2 linked regions of the Oryctolagus cuniculus genome follow. The protein of the gene in region 2 purifies or fractionates together with the protein of the main gene of each other region. This does not show direct contact. Links are inferred from orthologs where the notes say so. Each region holds a gene or a part of one and is shown on either strand. Other genes may lie near its edges. The genes, in order: RAB3A and SYTL4.

Evidence for each region.
Region 1: the proteins of SYTL4 (region 2) and RAB3A purify together in Homo sapiens (affinity purification with mass spectrometry; 3 studies listed by BioGRID and IntAct, counting the BioPlex papers as one, with this or other methods). This does not show direct contact. The link is inferred for Oryctolagus cuniculus from reciprocal best matches to the Homo sapiens genes SYTL4 and RAB3A.

The regions. Positions count from the first base shown.
Region 1 is NC_091447.1:65,551,237-65,555,792, forward strand, and holds the start of RAB3A (ras-related protein Rab-3A), read right to left. Parts: upstream 2,905-4,556; 5' UTR 2,745-2,904; intron 1,958-2,744; coding exon 1,730-1,957; exon of another isoform or gene 1,453-1,729; coding exon of another isoform or gene 1,411-1,452; intron 900-1,410; coding exon 781-899; intron 256-780; coding exon 131-255; intron 1-130. Other genes in the region: MPV17L2 (mpv17-like protein 2), read left to right, coding at 1,411-1,452. UniProt on the Homo sapiens protein: The small GTPases Rab are key regulators of intracellular membrane trafficking, from the formation of transport vesicles to their fusion with membranes.
Region 2 is NC_091453.1:92,013,184-92,016,985, reverse strand, and holds part of SYTL4 (synaptotagmin-like protein 4), read right to left. Parts: intron 683-3,802; exon of another isoform or gene 669-682; 5' UTR 592-668; coding exon 482-591; intron 230-481; coding exon 14-229; intron 1-13. UniProt on the Homo sapiens protein: Modulates exocytosis of dense-core granules and secretion of hormones in the pancreas and the pituitary. Interacts with vesicles containing negatively charged phospholipids in a Ca(2+)-independent manner.

The sequences.
Region 1 (4,556 bases), on a different chromosome or scaffold from region 2:
CTGGCTCCCTATTGCCCTCCAGAGAACCCAGCCCCTCGCGTCCACGCTGTGTCCAGGGCCCCGCGGGGGTCCCAGGGTGAGCCCGGAGCCCCCACACGGCCTCGGCACTGGCCCCGGCGCAGGCGCTCACCGAGGTGGTCGGCCAGCTGCCGGCCGCGCTCCGAGGACACCACCCGCTCGTCCTCCATGTCACACTTGTTCCCCACCAGCAGCACCTGTGCGTTGTCCCACGAGTAGGTTTTAATCTGGGTGGACCTGCAGGAGGCGGTGACGGTGGAGTTAGGGCTGGGCGGTTCTGGCCTCACACTGGGCAGCCCCTCCTGGAAACCCGAGTCCTGTGCCTTCTGCCCAGTGCTTGTTCCAGAAGGTTCCCTGCCCTTTCAAGCAACCTCTTCGACCCTGAGTCATCTCCCGGGGCCGGCACTGGGGCGCAGCGGGTAAAGCCCCGGCCTGCGGTGCCTGCATCCCACAGGGGCGCCGATTCTAGTCCCGGCTGCTCCACTTCCCATCCAGCTCTCTGCTGTGGCCTGGGAGAGCAGTGGAAGATGGCCCAAGCCCTTGGGCCCCTGCACCCATGGGGGTGACCCGGATGGAGCTCCTGGCTTCAGCCTGGCCCAGCCCTGGCCATTGCAGACATTTGGGGAGTGAACCAACAGACGGAAGACCGACCTCCCTCTCTCCTTCCCTCCCTCTCCCTCTCCCTCCCTCTCTCTCTCTCTCTCCCTTTCCCTTCCTCTCTGCGTAAATCTTAAGCGAGGCGACCCCGCCCCGCGCGCTCACCAGTCCTGCACGGCGTTGAAGGACTCCTCGTTGGTGATGTCGTACATGAGGATGAAGCCCATGGCGCCGCGGTAGTAGGCGGTGGTGATGGTGCGGTACCGCTCCTGGCCCGCCGTGTCCTGGGGAAGGGGCATGCTCAGAGCGGGCTACTCCCAAAGCCCCGCCCTGGGGGACAGGCCACCCCCAAAGCCCTGCCCTGGGGGACGGACCACTCCCAAAGCCCCACCCTGGGGGATGGACCACCCCAAAGCCCCGCCCTGGGGGACGGACCACTCCCAAAGCCCTGCTCCAGGGCCTAGGGTGGGAGGCGACAAGGGCAGCTCAGGGGCGGTGGCAGGTGCGTGGCGCCCAAAGTGAACTCCACCGCAACTCCCCGCGCCCCCTATCCGAGTGCCTGGGGCCCAGTCCCGGCTCTAGAGCTCCATCCGGGTCCCCCACACGGGTGCAGGGGCCTAGGCACTCGGCCCATCATCCACAGCTCCCCCAGGCCATAGCAGGGAGCTGGATGGGCAGTGGAACGGCCGGGACTCGCACGGGCGCCCACACAGGATGCGGGCGCTGCAGGTGGGGGCTTTAGGAACGAGGCCACAGCGCTGGCCCCGGATGAACAGTTCTCGTTTGCGGTCACAGGTGGACACAGCGCACCTGCCCCACGGAACAAGGTCCAGCTGAAATCTACACAGCCCACATGGAAGCCCTTGTAGATGGGGAAACCGAGGCAGCACTGTGGAGCAGCAGTTACACCGCCGCGCGGGGCCCCACATCCCTGGGTTCCCGCCCAGCTCCCTGCGCATGCGCGCCCTGGGAGGCAGCAGGTGCTGGCCCAGGGGCAGGGGTCCCTGCTGCCCCGTGGGAGACCCGGATGGAGCCCCGCCCAAGCTCTGGCTGGCATTTGGGGGCCGAGCGCGTGGGGCTGGCACACAGTAGGCGCCTACTGCATGCTGCGCACCCAGATCTGCAGCTTGATCCTCTTGTCGTTGCGGTAGATGGTCTTGACCTTGAAGTCGATGCCCACGGTGCTGACGAAGGCGGGCGTGAAGGAGTCGTCGGCGTAGCGGAACAGGAAGGAGGTCTTGCCCACGCTGCTGTTGCCGATGATGAGAATCTTGAACATGTAGTCGAAGTTCTGGTCCGAGGGCTCCTTCTGCCCGTAGCGCGAGTCCGTGGCCGACGCCATCTGCGCGGGGGGGGGGGGGGTGAGAGCGGGAGCTGGCTGCAGCCGGGGCTGCCGGGGACCCAGACCTGGGCTGCGGGGGTAGGGAGCCCCGGGCTCGGGGAGGGGGCTGCGGCCTCGGCTGCCCCTGGCAGCAGGAGCCCTGAGCAGGGGGCGGGCCGTGACCTTGACCGGTGCAGACCGCAGGGGATCCCCGCTAGCAGCCCAGGTCCCGCTGTAACCCTAAACCTACGGCTGCAGCCTGAGTGGGGGTGACTACGGCCGCCCCCCCTCAATCTTGCCTGGTCCCCGGCACGCAGGCGCACGTGCACCTGCCAGCACCGCCCCACCCCCACCACGCGGGGACGCGCGTCTGCAACCCCAAACCTCGAGGCCAGGGCAAAGAAGGGACGTGCACGCGCTCACGCCGCGCAGACCCACAGGAACGTGGACCCTCGGGCGTGCACGCGGCTCTCTGCACACGCGTGCGGCCCGTATGCCGGCAAACCCAGGCTCCCGCGCCAGGGTAGGCGGGCGCGCACACGCAGGTGCACACCTCGCGCACGCGCACGCAAGAGCCTCCCGCGCGCAGCGTCCCGCAAGGCGCTCGCCGCCCCTCCCCCCTCGCCGCAGCGCCCGGGGGTGGGGGAGCGAGGCTCGGGCGGCGGCGGGGGACCCCCGGGCCCGCGGCCCCGCACCCTCCCCGCCCCCACGCGCCTTCCCCCGCCCCCTCCCCACCGCCACCCGCCTGTCAGTCACGTGAGGGTTCAGCGGCGCGGGGCGCCGAGGCTCGGGGCCGCCGGGGGCTCACCTCGCCCTGCACCGGCGCGGCGGATACCCCTAGGCGGAGCGCGGGGCGGCAGCTGCGGGACCGGGGCGCGGAGAGCGTGCGGGGCTGCCCGGCGGCGGCGGCGGCGGTGGCTGAGGCCCCTGCAGTCCTCCGTGACGTCCTGCAAAGAGCGGGGCGGGGCCTCGCATGCAGATACAGCCGTGACGCCACCAGAGGCGGGGTCGGGCCGGCGGCTGCGGCTCCCGGACGCAGGCAGAGCCGGGAGGGGCGGGGCTGCCGTGCAGATGGACGCGAGAAGTGGGCGTGGCCCGGCGCGCGCGTCCAATCGGGGAAGCAGGTCCCGCCTCTCACCTCCCTCAGGAAGGCGGGGCTGCTTGGCGTCAGCTCATTGGCTAAGAGGTGCAGTGACGGACCAGCAAGCCAATGAGCTTCGCAGACGCCGTCCCCCTGGCCAATGGAGGGATCCCAGGCGGTTGAAGGGGTCTCTGGGGGGGCGGTTCCCTTCCCGGCCGCGCCCACCCCAGGTCGGGGGGCGTCGGGGCTGCCCCTGCCGGGTCCGCGGTGCGGCGACTTCTCGTTAGGAGCCCCGTCTCCTGAATTTCAGGAAAGCGGAACCGGGGCCCGGGAGACCCTCGTGCCCCGCCCTTGCGTCTGGGGGTTCCTGAGAAGCTAAAAGAGGAAGGGGCTCGTCGGACAGCCCCTCGCGCGGTCCCCGACCTGAAGACCCCCGGGGAGGGGGGCCGCCGGCGAATCCCTCCCCCGGCGCGCCCCGTCTCGAGCAGGAAACAGAATGGGCGGGGCTCAGTGCCCGGGACCCCCAGACCCGCGGTGGAGATCCCCAGCCAGCGTGGGTCGGGGGCCAGGTGACCCCTCCCCGCTACCGAGAACCCAGGGCCGGGCGGAGGGCGGAGGGCGGGGGCGCCCTCGGCTCTGCTCTCGCTGCGGGGTCGGCGGCAGGGCCCCCGCTCCGTTCCGGGCCCGCTGGTGCCACCCTCTGACCCCCGCCCCGTCCCGGGTCCCCAGGACCCCCCGGCCCCTCCCTTGCCCAAAACTGGAGCGGAGATGGGCTGGGGCTGGGGGGCACTCGCCCTGTTCCCGACACAGCGCCGGCGCCCCCGCCCCGCGCCGCGGCCTGGAAAGTCCTGCCCCCCCCCGGCGCCCCCGCGTGCGCGCCGGGAAATTCACTTCTCTGAGTCACGTGTGAGTGCCCCCACGGGCTCTGAGCGTCACGACCCCGGCCCCTCCCCGTCTGGGGCCCTGGGCCCCGCCCCCACTGGGGGGCTCTGGGCGGGTGCGCGGGTCCCTGCGCGGGCGGGGGCTCTAGGCGGGGTGTGTGGGGCTCTGAGTCCCCCGGGGGAAGCAGTCACGAGACCACAGCACCCCGTGTGTGGATGTAAAAATAGAAGCGGTGGCTGGCAAGGCTGGCAGACGGGGAGGGGGGCCCCGAGTTTGTCTCCTGCCTGGCGGGGGTGGGGAGGCAGCAGGTGGGGGAGAGGCAGGTTCCCAGGTCCGAAGCCGCCCCCCCCCCCAGCGGCTCCGTGTCCCGCAGGACCTTTGCGCCTGCCGCGCCCGCTTGTGGGGGCGCTCTGCCCGTCGCTGGTGTCTCACCCTCGTCTCTGGGGACCCGAGGTGGTCGTGACCCCGAAATCACACGGTTCTCCCCGCACAGGATGGCGCTGACTCTGACTGAGCCAGTGGTTAGCGCTGTGGCGCGGGCGGAATGAATGAATGACGCAGTGAGTGAATGAATGAACCCTTGTAGGGAGGCTGCTTTGCCCAGGGAGCTCAGGAACGCAGGAGCCGCCTTGGGGGCGGGGGCGACAGGTGCAAAGG
Region 2 (3,802 bases):
CCGTGACACTCACATTTCCTTGGTGCACACCTTGCACCTCCAGGTACCATTGCTTTCCTGGATGCGGCAGTCCCGACACACCAGGTGATTACAACCCCGACAAGTGTTGGTCTTGGGAGTCAAACGGCCCAGGCTCTCCTGGCACCGAGCGCAGGTCCTATCACTGTAGTGTTGGCTGCCTCTCTTGGCCCCCTTCCTTTTTATCTCCAGTAACTCATTCTTCAGTCGCCTGCCAAGACCCAAAAGAGAAGCATAAGTGGGTCAGGATCTGCACAGGTTGTCTGGGTAGGGTTTGAGGGGTAAACGGAGTAAGACTATTTGGTTCTGTTAAAGCAACAAACTCAGAGCTCCAACCTGACCCAATGAGGAGTTGTAAGTGTTGTATATACAGGTTCTGAAAGTCAGATGGGTAGCGTAAGGAAAAATCCAACTATCATTGGTGAAAGGCCTGAGGCCCCCATGCTTTTTCTGATACTCTTACCTAATCCTTTTCTCATCTGCTTTTCGGAGCTCCTCATCTCGCTGTAGAACACTGAGGATCAAATCCCTTTCCATCTCAGACAGAAAAGACAGGTCTAGTATCTCTGACATGACTTATTCTGTTTGTTGTTGTTGTTGTTCACTCTTCTTTCTTCAAAGCAACCAGACAGGGAGAGCACCAGAGTTGCCTGAAACGAGAGAACTAATTTCACACAAATGACTTACTCCAGAACAGGCTCACAGCCCTAGAACCTTCCAGTAGACTATAGGCTAAAGAAACAAACTAGAAGTATCAGACGTATTTGCATTCCGACTTCACTTGAATCATACCCTGAAAATGAAAAGGTTTTTATTTTTCAAGAAGAAAAAATCTATTTATGACTCTGGGAAAGGACTGGATCTTTCATTATAAGCATCTTATTCTGGAAAGAGCAAAGAACAATTCAGTCAAACTCCCCCTCCACTAAATGCATCCTCAACCATCCAATTTTTATTTCTTTAAATATGCTCAACTCCTAAGTCTATTAACCTAAATAATCAAGAAGCTGGTCTCTGTAGGAGAAGGGAAAAGCACAGGAGAACTCTTGTCAATTTAGGTCTACTTCTCATTCCTGATCAGCTTCCATGCTCCCAGGATTCAGTCAGCTTTCCACTATACTTCAAAAATTTTCACCACCTACTGCGCCACAAAGTTTTTATTGCACTCACACTACCTCAAGAAAGTCTGCCCCATTTCATAAACATTTGTCAAGCCCCATTAAATGAAAGGTATTGTGCAAAGTTCTTTGAATACAGAGCTTATTAAGACACAGTTCCCAGCACAGTGGGTTAGGCCACCACCTGTGCCACTGACATCACATATGAGCACCAGTTCAAGTCCCGGATGCTCCATTTCTGGTCCAGCAGTCTGTTAATGCCCCTAGGAAAGCATCACAAGATGGCCCAAGTGATTGGGCCCCTGCCACTCACATGGTAGGCCCAGATGGAATTCAAGGCTCCTGACTTTGGCCTGGCCCAGTTCTGACTGTTACAGCCGTTTGGGGAGTAAACTGGAGGATGAAAGATTCATATTCATTCTCTCTCTCTCTCTCTCTCTCTCTGATGCTCTGCATTTTAAATAAATAAACAAAAGATCTTTAAAAATATCTAAGAGGGGCCAGCGTTATTGCTCAGAGGTTAAGCTGCCACCTGCAATGCCAGAAATAGCAGTACATGATGGCTCACAAGCTTGGGCCCCTGCCACCCATTTAGGAGACCTGGATGGGATTCCTGGTTCCTGGCTTCAGCCTTGCCCAATCCTTGCCCAATCCTTGCCATTGTGACCATTTAGGATGTTAACCAATGGATGGAAGATTGATCAATTGATCGATTGATCTCTCTCTCTCCCCTCCCTCTCTCTCTCCCTCTCTCTGTAACTCTTTCAAATAAATACATAAATCTTTAAAAAATAGATATGTCAAATGACGTATTTCATAAAGTATTTATTTTAACATTTGTATAGGCAAAGAGAAAGGCCTAGGAAAAAAACTATTATATACCATTGGTATCTCTTTGGGCAGAATTAGGATGGGGCAATTTTCACTTTTTATTTTATATAGTTCTGATTTGTTTTTACACGTCTTCCTTTTATATTTCAAAAAAATACATTTCGAGGGACACAAGGAGATTATGGCAATCGTCCAAGCAACAAACAACCTAGATTACTACCTGTGCCACTAATCACTTGGATGAGTGATCTTATTTCTGTTCCCTATGGTTTCTCATCCTCAAAATGATCTACCTCACAAAGTCGTCAAGAAAAATAATGTGTGTTAAAGGGCCAATCACAATGTCTGGAACACATGCTTGAATTACAAATACTTTTTGTGTCTGCTAAAATGATAAAGGTGTGAGCCAAGGCAGCAAAACCAAACACAGAATAGGTTTGAAAAGTAAAATTGACATAATGGAGTGACTGAGTGGAGAAGATGAAGAGGTGAAGTCAAAGATGTTTAGCCCTCAAAGGAACAAGAAATAGAAGAGAAGAATTAGCCTTAAGAGCAGGCAAGGGGTCTAATTTTAGCCACATTGAGTTTATGTTGCATGCAGAATAGCCAGATAATTAGGCTCAGGGAGTAGCTGGAAACACAGGGCTGGGCCTCAGGAAGAGAAACTGTATTTGAAGACAGAGATTTGGTAGTCATGGGTGTCAAAGAGACTAGGGTAGACAAAGTGAGAAAGGAAACAGGGATTGTATTCCCCTTCCATGTTCTACCTTGAAACTAAACAACATCCTTTCAGTTTTTTTTTAATTTTGTTTTACTAAATACAAGAAAGACAATAAAGAGCACAAAGAGGATAGCAAAGCATTCCAGGTTCTTAAAACTGCAGTGTGTTCTCAACTTGACTATTTCTTGGTCTTTATTGAACTATAAGAAGGTAATCATGTTTCATAGGTCCTTTATTAGATAATCTTCAGGAAATCTTCTTAGTTCTTATCCTCAAGGAAAATATATAAGGGTCCTGCAAAAAGTTCATGAAAATGCATGTTACTGAAAAAACTATGAATAGATTTCAATTTTTTTTTTATTTTTTGACAGGCAGAGTGGACAGTGAGAGAGAGAGACAGAGAGAAAGGTCTTCCTTTGCCGTTGGTTCACCCTCCAATGGCCACCGTGGCTGGCGCGCTGCGGCCGGCGCACCGCGCTGATCCGATGGCAGGAGCCAGGAGCCAGGAGCCAGGTGCTTTTCCTGGTCTCCCATGGGGTGCAGGGCCCAAGCACCTGGGCCATCCTCCACTGCACTCCCTGGCCACAGCAGAGAGCTGGCCTGGAAGAGGGGCAACCAGGACAGAATCCGGCGCCCCAACCGGGACTAGAACCCGGTGTGCCGGCGCCACTAGGCGGAGGATTAGCCTAGTGAGTCGCAGCGCCGGCCAGATTTCAATATTTTTACCACAAAATAAACTTATCTTTTAACTATTTCCTGTGATCTTTTTGATGTACCCTTGTATACTTGCAACGGAAACAAGGACCTTTTCAATATCATCTCTGGCCCAGCACCTAACACACATTATCTGGCAAATGGTGCCACATATGCTGCCAATATAGATGAACACCATCACTGTCATCACCATTCCAACAGTGCCACATATTACTACACGCTAAATAAGTACTTTGCATATATATAATGATTAACTTAATCCTCCCAACAACACTGAGGGTGAGTGACTATTACTATCCCCATTGTATTGATGAGGATTCAGGAGAGGTTAGCCTAACGTAACGGAAGAAATAGCAACTAAGAGAAGTTGCTGGGAGGGAAGCCTAGGCAATCTGATTCT